Linked DNA regions of Drosophila melanogaster. The protein of the gene in region 2 interacts with the protein of the main gene of each other region in a biochemical or structural test. Each region holds a gene or a part of one and is shown on either strand. Other genes may lie near its edges.

Evidence for each region. The genes of interacting proteins can lie anywhere in the genome.
Region 1: of the proteins of Dhit (region 2) and Galphao, one has a biochemical effect on the other in vitro, tested with the Drosophila melanogaster proteins (one study listed by BioGRID).

What each region holds. Positions count from the first base shown.
Region 1 is NT_033778.4:10,436,484-10,441,023, forward strand, and holds the start of Galphao (G protein alpha subunit o), read left to right. Parts: upstream 1-1,501; 5' UTR 1,502-1,623; intron 1,624-1,764; exon of another isoform or gene 1,765-1,868; intron 1,869-1,987; exon of another isoform or gene 1,988-2,009; intron 2,010-2,122; exon of another isoform or gene 2,123-2,254; intron 2,255-2,887; exon of another isoform or gene 2,888-2,891; 5' UTR 2,892-2,962; exon of another isoform or gene 2,963-3,030; coding exon of another isoform or gene 3,031-3,148; intron 3,149-4,540. Other genes in the region: CG12895 (uncharacterized protein), read right to left, coding at 266-536, 599-780, 837-854. UniProt on the Drosophila melanogaster protein: Guanine nucleotide-binding proteins (G proteins) are involved as modulators or transducers in various transmembrane signaling systems.
Region 2 is NT_033778.4:17,790,914-17,798,656, reverse strand, and holds Dhit (double hit), read right to left. Parts: upstream 5,788-7,743; 5' UTR 4,107-5,787; intron 3,539-4,106; 5' UTR 3,531-3,538; coding exon 3,229-3,530; intron 3,062-3,228; coding exon 3,053-3,061; intron 2,772-3,052; exon of another isoform or gene 1,604-2,771; coding exon 1,526-1,603; exon of another isoform or gene 1,456-1,525; coding exon 1,394-1,455; exon of another isoform or gene 1,330-1,393; coding exon 1,041-1,329; exon of another isoform or gene 973-1,040; coding exon 888-972; 3' UTR 529-887; downstream 1-528. Other genes in the region: CG5033 (uncharacterized protein), read right to left, coding at 6,300-6,453, 6,517-6,812, 6,873-7,360, 7,424-7,743.

The sequences.
Region 1 (4,540 bases), 7.4 Mb from region 2:
TATATATTAAAATTGTATCTTTTCAAATGTCATGATTTGTTGATTAAGCTGAAGTTTTCAACAAATAAAAATAAAAATGAAAGCACATTCAAATTACCAAATCACTTGCAACCGTATTATTTATTATTCCGTATAAATGATCGTTTTTAAATACCAGGTAAAATGCAAGTTCAAGTCATTGGTCTTTTAAGGATCAGGAGTAGAATAACACATTCATTTAATACATTGTTTTGTATGCTTATATATATAATATAGTTTATAATGTTCACAAATCCGGCTGCCTTATCCTTTGCACTTTTTCATGATTTTTGACGTGCTCCTTTAGCAGACGCATTATTTCGGTATCGAATTGAGGAGGTGTTGGCTTGGTATCGGTGGCCCAGTAGAATATATCCCAGTCGTTGCTGACACCATTGATCAACTGATCGTACTCGGCGGTCTGCTCGGCATTGAAGTCCTTCAAATGCTTGGCCACAAAAGTGCTCAGCAAGAGATCGTTTTCCAGCATTCCGCGTTTCCTGCTTTGATACAAAAGGCTGCACAAGATAATGAATGATCATAAGTAGGAGTTTGGGATATTTTCATTTTAAGCGTATACCGCTGCTTGCGAGTTTCCAGCGGCTCATCGGGACGGACAGGATATTCCGGAACTGGCAAATGCGGCGGATCATCGTAGTCCACAATTTCCCCGGGTGTTGTGTACTCAGTTTTGTCCAAATTGCTGGCGAGGCGACTTTGGGCCATCATAGGTAGTTGCAGGCGACGGCCTACCGTAGATACCTGTGTCCAATTAAGCAATCAATTATATTTTACTACATTTGGGGCCATAAACTTACTATAAATTGCCGCAACATTTTAGGAAACGACCAAAACAATGATATAACGACAGTGTTGGCTAAGAAAGTTAAGTATAATCGATAGATTCCTGCTATAATAATCGGCTGTTGCTATAAATAGTGCTGGAAAGTGCACACTTTGTTGAATTAATCATTTATTTTATTTAACCGTTCAAACCTCAGGCGAATTTAAATTAAAATAGTTGTTTTATTTTAAATATGAATATATTTGGGAGAATATGCACTGCAATTGTTATGAAAGGTATGCGAATTTTTAATAATTATTTGCAATAATATAAATAAAAAATATATCTCTATTTGTATCACTTAAAGCTCAAATATTGTATTCATGAGATCCTTTTGAGTGGCCTGCTATTTAAAATCCAGATAAGTTTCAAAACATAATAAAAAAATAAATGTCTGTACATACAAAGTGATGCAAAATATTTATTGAAACTAAAGTGAGCATGTTCTTTCATATTTATATAAAACATTTTATTAAATTATATGTATATAAATAGCGGAAGATTTTAACAAATTTAAATTTTTAAATATAAGCTTGTTTTGCAGCAGCTGTTGTTGCGGCCAGTGCTGGTCAACAGCCACCCCCGCCGCGTCCAGTGCTGCGCACCGACGCCGCCAACAGCTGTTCGAACGCCTCGCTCTGCAGTTGGAAAGAGCGAACGAAGCGAGAGAGAGCAGCTAAATTTTCGCACACCAGAAAAGTGCAATTTACCAATATCACTGCGGCCAAAAATACAAGTGCAAGTGCTCGGCAAGTGCAACGGTAAACTATCACGATCGGTGCAATAAATACAGCGAGTCGCGAAAAAGAAGCGCAAAGCGAACGGAACCAATAAGAACAGCCAAACGCAAAAGAGAGCCTCCTGCACACACACGCACACAGCAGGCTGAAGCAGACCCACACACACGCATACACTAGTGCGGTGTGTATACGACTGGAAAACTAGGCGGTGGTAAATGTGAAGCTGAAAAAAGCTGAAAAAAAGGAAAAGGAAAACTCGTGGGGTGGTGGGTGGCGGCCCAGTGGGCGGGGGGTGTGGCGTGTGCAGCGCGTGAGAGTGCGTAGTGCGTGCGTGTGAGTGAGTGAGTGTGTGCGCGCGTGTGAGTGAAACAGCGACAAACTAAATGAAAATTTATACATCCGAAATGGTTAACAGTTTGCATAAAAACGGCATTACTTTTTGCATATGTTAATGTGCTTAGGCAAACGCTCGAAAAAGAAAACTCCACAACCCACCGCCTTTTTTTCCACCAACCCGGCGCTTTTTTAGCGCCTACGCCCACGCTTAATACATACACACTGCATAAAAAACATACAAATAAAACCAAAAAAAAAAAAAAACAAACAAAATTTATAAAAGTTTTATTAAAAGTGTGACAACAAAAAATAAGTGGTATCCAAAAAATAAGCTTGAGTTTTTGGCTCTTTGACCTCGAGACTAATTCACTTACATGATAAATTACCATCGTTCTTATCGCGATCCAGCATTATCTGATGGATTTATCTTATCAGCGCGATTGATGAATTTTGTATCGATATCGCAAACATGCTCCATATGCAAATTAGCTGGCTATCATTGCTTTTATTTTTACTTTGCGTCTGCTGATAAAAAACAAAAGCAACATAATTGATACAGTGCGCGGCCCATTGCACAGACAGTGGCGGTCATAAAATTAGTGCTTGTCTCAGTACAGTACAACATCCATAGAGCGAACGATGTGTTCCATAAACCTTGTAACATCAGTTTAAAATAATCTTTTTAACTATTACATACAAATTAATATACAGCTGTGTTTCTCATAATAGTTGAGTAACAGAAAGAATATTACAATTACAATTACAATTTGTGTTTATACACAGCAGACAAAATTAATTTAAGATAACTCAACATTATTATTTTGAACTCGGCTGTATATTTAACACATCCTTGATATTCATTGGTTCGCCTTATCGATCGCGCACTGTTTATAGTGAATCATCCGCTGACCCGTGTATTTGTTATTGTTGATGGGTTCAATACTCCATTTCAGTTGAAATCGTTAAACTGTACATAAGCAAATAAGACATAAAGAAAAAAGTCCAGGAAAATTGGAAAACAAAAGCCCGAAAACCGAAAAGCCCCGTGTAAATCCGAATCCGAATCCAAATCAGTATCCAAACCCAACCACAATGGGCTGCACCACATCCGCCGAAGAACGCGCCGCCATCCAGCGATCCAAACAGATCGAGAAGAATCTAAAGGAGGATGGAATCCAGGCGGCCAAGGACATCAAGCTCCTGCTGCTGGGTAAGTGCACTTTTCGTCGCTTTTTCTCGTTTTTCCACTTGGGTTTTTCTCACCGGAAATGGAAATCCTGCTCAGCGTTTACCTTTCCACTCGACTCGACTCTATTGTTCGTTCTATTTTGGTGGAAATTGCTGGTTTATCTATCGGCCGCCAGATTCCGGGGCACTTGGAAAATTTTATTTTCGGTTTTATGTGCCGATAGATAGGGGGATATTTATTGCACACACTTTTACTCTGCGGCGGAAATGCTGGATGTACTGGACGCAATTTTGGATTAGCTGCTCTTCAATTTCCATCAAGGCTTATATCAGAGTTCACATTTTTTAGAAGATTCAAAGACTGGAATAAAAGTAAATTCAAAAACTATGATTTTTGTATGTACTGACTGGTTATTTAAATTAAATGTAATGACTTGTTGCCCCACAAAAGGAATCGAACTCAAGGTTATTCCACTCTATTTGAGTGCTGATGAATCGATTCCATGACAAAACTATTTTTAGCGTGTTTTTTTTGGCCAAGGCGAAACCGAAGTAATTTGGGTCAACTTTTGGGTGTTGCATGTGGCATGGATATCCGAAAATAAAATGGACTCATGCACCACTGTGCATGCAACATCTTAGACAATGGCAGCAGCAACAGTTGCATCCGCCCTCGTGGCAGGCGAGTGTGAAAACCTAAACAGTTTCGAGGAGCCATGTGGCCTGCGGATGACTCGGTCCGATTAAAGTGGTTTCAGTACCAAACAGTTCGATAGTGATGAAATAATTACAATGTTTTTAAAAAATATATAAAATAATGACTAGAATTAGCCAAATCTAAGAAAACAGTGCAAATTATCTGAACATAGCTTAAGAATTTAAAGATGCTAAAAAATCATCATGTAGATATTGTCTTTGCTGTCATCTCTATCCTGCATCAGCCTGAATCTCATCGTCGAGTGCATCTGTGAGCTGCAGCTGCAGCCTTAGCCTTAGCCTTAGATTTTGTCCAAGTGCGTCTGCATCCGCCAAAAGATGAGGGCAATCGACGCCACTTGACATTGAAACAATTGCACGTGTGTGCCAGTGGGCGGGTGTGCACCATGTAGCATGGTTTCGAGGTGCAGTGTTTGTTAACCTGGTTGCGCCACTGACACCGAAATGTCAGTTAATCCCATTGACTTTGACTTGCCCCCGAAAACGAGATAGGGATGCAGTCAGGCAGAAAAAGGACAAAGCTGCAATATGCACGGGAATTTCTCTTTCACTTTAACATTGTACACAAACATGTTGCGAAAAACAAGCAAAATCTCCATATCGTGGATGCACTTAAAGCAGCATTCAAACAAACCAAAAGTTAAAGATATAAAGTTTACAAAACATTTAATGCTTAAACCAAAAATAAACCAGATCA
Region 2 (7,743 bases):
CCGAAATACAAATATTGTTCAAATACTGAGGCTTCTCCTCAATCCAATTTGCATTTGATTTTTAGTCTTAAGCTGAGATCCAAAGAATAAAGTCGTGAAACTATTTCTCCTAAAAACTATTTTTTATTTCTTGGCGTTGTCCTTAGTCAACTGACGGGACATTAGTTCGACTCATAAATAAAACAACAATTTTACTATATATATATATATATATATATATGCTGGTGTGTTGTATATATAAGTTTATAAAGTTTATGTATGTAATACGTTTAAAAAGATTTTTTGGTTTCTTTCCTTCTTTTTTTTGTAATGTTTTTTTGGAAAAAGTATTTCTGTTACGTTGCGGTTTATGATTACGTTTAAACATACTTATCAGTTAGCGGGTTCCGTAATCTTGGTTTCAATTTGATTAATACGTCTCTTAGATCACTAGTATTACAATGGATGCTATTTGTGTCGCTCGTTTCGTATTAGCTTTCTGGGTATTTTTTTCTTGTTGTTTTTCTTTCTGTTTTTTTGTTTTTTTTTGGTTGTTTTGGAAAATGCTTTCTGTGGTCGAACCTGCTTCTTAGTGAAAACATATTTTGTAATACCTAACTCTTTGGTTAGCTAACGACTAGAACGTAGGAAGAGAAAGGAATCCGATTCACATTGAACGCACGACGTCTGATTCACCGGCCCCAACCAGGATCCTGATTTCGTGGCTGCTCGCAAAATGGTTAAATGGTTCTACTAATGGATACATATTGCTTAGTCGATTGCAGCAGCGATTGGGGCGGAAAATCAGAGATATACCAGTGGAGAGCAACAGCGGAAGTCAACACAGCGCAACTGAATTCGATCCAAATCCAAATCCAAATCCGATCCGGGACATCAAGCCATCCTCTCTAAGTTGGACTATCCGCTTTGGAACCGGCATTCGAGTTGTCTTGCAGTTGAGCTAGTGTCTTGAACTTTTGAGAGTTTAGGAATCTGTTGAAAAAGATACCCCGTTTAAGTATAAATACAGTATCTTTTATTTTTGCCTAAAGAGCACTCACCTCGGATATGAGTCTCTGTGCATCAGTGTGTAGATCTGGATTTGAGCTTCGTCGAAGGTGTGCGTCGTGGGCTCGATCATGTTCCGGTTGACAATCTCGCGGACCCTGGAGTCCAGCGACACCTCCCTGGGCGACAGGATCGAGATGTAGTCCTCGTAGATGAGGCGCGCCTTCTCCTCCACCAACTCTGGGCTATTCTCCTTCTTGAGATCCTCGCAGGCCAGCCAGAATAGGATGTTCTCCTCACTGAATTCGCTGCGCAGGAAGTTCTGGAACACCTTTCGACCAGCTGGGAAAATATTCGGCCAACCACCAATTAGTTTGGATCAAGGTGGCAATTGTCAATGGCTTACCTGTACTTTTCATCAGCTTGTCAAAGCTTTTGCCCCAGCTGCGGATTTCCTCCAGTGTGGGTCTGTAATGTACAAATAAATGTAGTTTTTCCGTGGCTTAAGTTTATTAAGTTGATTGGTGCTCAAACTCACTGCTCGCCATCCAAGAATTCGGCATTTACCAGATCTCGCTTCGTGGGGGCATTTTCATCGGCATTCTTGATGGCCAGACTGTAAAGATAAGAAAAAAGGGAAAAAACAAGGGGGGTTTGCTTGTTAAAAGTCGATTATTTTGATTTTACAACTCATCAATCACCCTTTAAAGTATACTACAATTTTATTCATCGCTGAATTGGCGCTCAGCCTGACTCATTTTTAACTGGCACAAAATAGCATAAATATGTAAGTACAGTAGCCGCTCGATAACGTAAACTTTTAGATAGCGCAAGCTACTGATTAGCATTTTATAAAACACTTGCACCAAACATAGAAACTGAACATAAGCGATTCTACCACATTTTAAGCTAGAGAGTTTAAAAGTTACTCATATATCTGAACGCGATATAAAGATATAATGCCTCGAATAAACACTGTAGATAGGCTAATGGCATATCGGTTTTGGGTTTCGAAGCCCGGAGACAGAGCAACGGAGTACTCGAACTTGACATAAAGCTCTCTTATCTGGACGACAGTTATCAGAGCGACTCGCTGGCCCAATACCTAATCAAAGTCACACAGGCGTACATATACCCCTATACATATATGAATCAAATTAGATGCGGCCAGGGGGGGTTTGAGGCGACATCGGGTGCTCTGAACTGGGTTTTCGGGGCGATATACCCCCAAGTTGTGCACACAAAGGTGCGGACGGGGGGTTGCGAGTTGGCGGCGGGTCGCAAAAGACTTTCGTTTTCATTCACGAAAACATGCAACACTTGGAGGAGTCCGCGGAGGAGCCGCCACATACTTATTTATATTTGATTTGAAAAGTGCCCTCCAGAGAGCTTTTCGCTGCCCGTCGCCTTGCTCACGGAATTGTGAATGAATGCGGGAGAAACTGAGAGAGCGGCACCAGTGCTAAAGAGCGTTTCGTAAGAGAGAAAGCGGAGAAAGTTCGCATGGCGGAGAGAGAAAGAGCTTTTGGATGTTCAGCAGCGTTGCCAGCTGCCAGCAGAAGGCCACCTTTACCGTGTCCATTTCCATTTCAACTTCCCTATCCATATCCATATCCATATCCATGTCAGTGGGCACAGCCATAGCCGAAGCCAAAGCCAAAGCCAAGCAATAGTTAAAGCCAAAGCAATAACCATAGCTGTAACCGTGGCCACATCCATGACAGCACTGCGAGAAACATGGACTAATAATATTTCGACTCTCTTAAAAAAAGGGCTCAAACAGACAACCTTTAAAATGAAATGATTTATAAAATAAAAAAATAAAAAATTTGCAAAAAATTGATATTGAAATAAGTAAAAATAAATAAATTAATTAACAATAACGATGTTAATGTAACCAAAGATTGGTTCATCTGTTATAGTATATCTTGAAAATAAAGCTAACTAGGTAAAATAATTACGTATTTAAAATAATTGCGCATTTAATATTCTATACTTTACAGTCCAATAATACCAATCGATTCTCTCGGTGTATGAATGCATGAGTGTTTCAGGAGGTGCTTACCATTTGGCCCTGTTGTCAGGATGTGGTTGGCAGTGGATGGGTATTGGCACAGGTAGTTGTTTTAATGACCGAACGGTTGAGTCAAGGCAGCGCGGTAACGAGAAAGAAATTGATTTCGTGTCAGAGGATTCGAGCGGTGCACAAATAGGCCACTCGGTGGTGGCCTCCATACTCACCAGGAGCAGGAGCAGCAGCAGCACCAGCAGAAGCAGCAAGGCTTCTGCGACTGCGGACGCTGAAACGTGGTCGCGTTCGACTCCTGCAGCACGTTGGACGTGGAGCCGAGGATTCCCACGCTGCCGCCCACGGTGGGCGATACTCCGCCCAGGCTGCCGCCACCTCCGACGACGCCCCCGCCGCCACCGTTCCCATTGCCATTCCCATTGTTGCCACTATTGTTGGCGGCACTTTGCTGTGAGGATGCAGTCATGCCGCGCAATCGACAGCCACTGGGCAGCTCGGAAACGGTGCAGGACATGCCGCTACCTGCAATAAAGGAACAAATTGAAACGTTAATGAACACTGTGCACGGGATGGAGTGGGGGGAAAGTGTGCTGACAGTTGGGCGAATCACAGTCACACTGCAAAAAATAGCTCTATTAGTCATCTAGAAAGAATTGTTAACCAAGGTGCCCGGAACTTAACTACTTAATTGTCTTGGCTGGTGAGTGTTTGTCTTTTTGGTTTGGATCCCATTAATTTGACAAGATGTCATTCAAAAGATACTGAAACTGATTCATTATATTATAAATATTATTATAAATATTATATTTATATTATAAACATTATATTCATAAATATGTTATTTGAATCTAGTCAAAACACCTTTTAAATAAAATTGTAATATTTGTTCTTTGCATTTATCACAAAGAAACTTTATATGAAATTAAAGATTAAATAGTAAAGAAAACTGTTGAATTATTAAAACATTGATTGTTTGTATATTTAATTTACCAAAACTATCAAAATATAATAAATACATATTCGGGAAAGTGTAATCTGGAGGAGTAGGTCCAACTGCTCCCGATTCGCCTCGTTTTCCGTGTGCACTTACCTGCCCTTTGAAAGTTGAGGTTGACGCTGGCGGAGCTGACGGAGATGGTGGAGGTGGAGATGGTGATGGGTGTTGGGTGGTGAGGTGGTGCTGCCCCAGCTGGCGGACCGCCCACTGCCACTGACCTACCCACTCACCCGCTCGCTTTGGTGCTCTTTTCTTTGCTTCGGCTTCTCTTTCTCGGCTTCCTTGGGGATGTGGGGTATGCAGGGAGACCGTTACGTATTTATGTTTTTGCTAATAATTTTTTATCGAAAGTTCCCACACACTCTCTCTCTCTCTCTCTCTCTCCCTGTGGCGCTCTGTCCTCTCTTTCTCGCTCTGCCCACAGCTGCTGCTCTTGATTTTAGTTTTCGTTTTGTTTTATGTTTTTTTTCCTTCTCCTTAGCTTTTCCTTGGGCGATTTTACAAGCCGAAAAATTCCAGAAATTCTTCAAGATTTTTTCGATAACCTTTTCGAGTAGTAGTTATCCTTATCGTAGGTTCCTGACTTCAAACCTTCGCGTGGGTTTGGTTTCCGTTTTTTTTTCTAGGGGGTCTAGCGTTTCTTTAGAGAGTTGACGGTGCGCGGGTGGCATTTACATATTCCGCTCCGGATTTACGGGCGAAAATCTAGCGATTCAATGGCCCCGTGCACCAAGGGGCACATTTCACAAGCGTTACGAAATTTATGAGCAGCTGGAGCTGCCACCGTAGTTGTTGTTCTGGCCTTTATTTATTTCTTGTGCTAGTCATTACACTGCCATTGTATATGTACATATATATGTAGGCGCCGTTGTGTGCGTGCGTCTGTGCGTGTGTGCGTGAGGAGGGGGTGGGCTGGAGTACCACCACATTGACACGCAACTTGGCTAAGTGGAGCGCATTGTTTGGCCCGTTGGGCGGATGGGGCGTATGCGTGATTTTCTCCACTTGTGCTGATGTTGCTGCAACAGCTGCAACATGTAGGCATCAGCAGCTAATTGCACTTGTTTGTAACTCGAAACGCCAGCGATTTTTGGTCGTTGCACTTATCACAAATCAGCTGCTTGGGTTCTTTTGTTGACCATTGCCTTTAGCCTGGCTATCTATGTATATTATATGTATATTTTGTTTTATTTTCTTGTTGTTGAACCAGCGCTTCCGTTCAGATTTTCACTCAAACACCACACACACGTTTATATTTTCTTTGAGGATTTTTGGGCGAATGGGTGGGCGGGAAAAGGGGGTCGCGTTTGTATGTATGTATGTTTTTGAGGAGCAGCGACGAGTACATACGAATTTTTGCCACTAGAATCGGAATCGAAATGTGTATATTTGTATATATTTTTCTTTTTCGCCCCGAAATTGTTTTGCTTGTGCTTCGATTTTTTTTTTGTGAATTTCTTTACGATTTTTTTCGTTGACTGTTGAGAATGTGTGTGTGTGTATGAATACGAATTGGGGGAAACTGCAATTTTCGTGGTCACTGGACTGCCTGGACTGGCATTTTCACATTTTCACATTTCGCCCTCGGCCATATTTTATTATATTCCTTCGTGCTCGGTGCCCCCGCAATGGCAGCCAATTCCCATTCGATTTCTGCGCTCTGCGATTTTGGCTGCTCAGCACCAGCAGCACCCAGAAGCTGAAGCCAAAATCCTCGACGGGTCGATTCGAGCGTTTCGAGATTCTCTCCGCTCGGGCAAAGGCAGGCGACTGATTTCCAAGCAGTGCCGTGTCGCCAGCTCTTGATTTTGATTTTCCAATGCGCGCGCTCCTCCCGAGGAACGCAAGATAACGGCGAGTGGAAAGTGGGCAGCCGGGGGAGGGCTCCATAGGTGGACTGAGCGAAAAGCTTTGTGGAATTGCTATACAGTTAGAATTCCTGGTACACACAGGAGAGGGACTGACAGGCGGAGAGCGCGAGAGAACGGACGGTAAGACATGTGCGCGAGTCGGAAAAAGAGAATAAAGCTCGGGACTCTTCGCCCCACTGGAATTTACCGCAAAGCTTTGGGGCCAGAACTTATAAACTTTCGGCAGGGTTGCACTTACATTTTGATTTTGGGATCCCGTTGATTTCGAAAACCGTTGTTTTTAAAATGTTCGAATGAAATGGTTATATGAAATACTTTACTTTTCATAAAAATTAATATATTTTTTATTTACTATTGAAATTTCACAAAACTTTCGGAAACTAAAAGAAACTTTCTTGGGGTTTGTACACCTAAATTACGTGTATAGTCGGATGGTACTGTCCGCGCCCGTGGAGAAGACCCATGGCTGCACCGGATGCCAGTTAACATCCAGCACACCAAACTCATCGCGTTTCTCGTGTGTTTGCAGCTTCTTGAGAGGCACAATCAAAGGGTTTTGCAGCAGGTCACTAAAAAAAAGTTTGGAGAAATTCGTAATTAACCTTGGGCAATGTTGATTTATAGCCACTTACTTATAGACCATGCCATGGGAGACGATCACAGCCTGGTCATCGCTGCCGGAAGCAAAGAGCGGATATCGAAGATGGAAAGCAACACTGCGAACTGCATTGCGATGGAGTCGCATGGTCTGGTAGGGCTTTGTGGACAGATCCAAATCGAACCAGAGCATCTTTTTGTCATAGGTGGACACCAGCAGATTGTCGCCCTTGGGATGAATAGACATGCCCGATATCCATTTGGAGTTGGTCAGCAGCTTCTTGACAAGCTCTTGTTTGACCAGATCATAAATGCGAATGTTGTGTTGCGTCTGTAAAGAAAAAACAGAATTCAATAAGACATACTAACAAAAGAAAATTAACCCACTTACCGCCACAAAGAAGCAGGGCTTCACCGGATGGAAGAGCACGAATTGGATGAGACCCTTGCTCTTGGAGAATGGAATCTGTGAGCGCCGCTTGGACAACTGATGAATTAAAGCCGAGCGGTTAGCACCTTCGGGCATCACTGTGGCCAAGTAGTCACCACGACCGTGCCAGGTCACCTGTCGGATGGGTTTGAAGTGGGTAATCACTACGCGGACGCCCTTCTCCTGCTCATCAGCTTCCGCATTTGACCATTGCACCGCCGTCTTGATGCGTTCACTTTCAATGACATCCTGACTGGGCGCCTCAGCCAAGAGATCGTCGGTCTTCTTCACCAGCACCTTATCGCCCACTTTAGGATTGACGAGCAGCAAGCGATTGCCAGTGGCCACCGCAATAATAGACAGCTTGGGATTTGGACACCAAGCCACACAGCGTACCACTTCGTCGGTCTCGATTGTGCGAATGCAACGACCTGTTGCAATTTCCCAAACTGTGAGGTGAGATGGATTAGTAAGAAGATATCTAAAAGGTTGTCAATTAAATTAGTACTTACTCTTGACGGTTTTATCATCCGAACCGGAGACGAGGTACTCTCCCTTGGGCTCCACACTAACAGACCGCACCAGATCGGTGTGGCCACGGTAAACCATACTCTCCACCGTGGGAAAGGGTTGCAGGTCACGCGGCGAGGGCAACTTGGGGATAAGGTACTCGGCATCGATGTTCAGCTTGACACGCTTTGCACGGGGACACAGGTAAAGATCCAGGCAACGAAGGAAACGCTCCCGAAGGTATCTCGAGTATGCGGGCACCTCCCTCAGCGACTTGAACTTCTGTGGCATGAAGTGCAGCTTGCGCTTGTGTGGCTCGTCC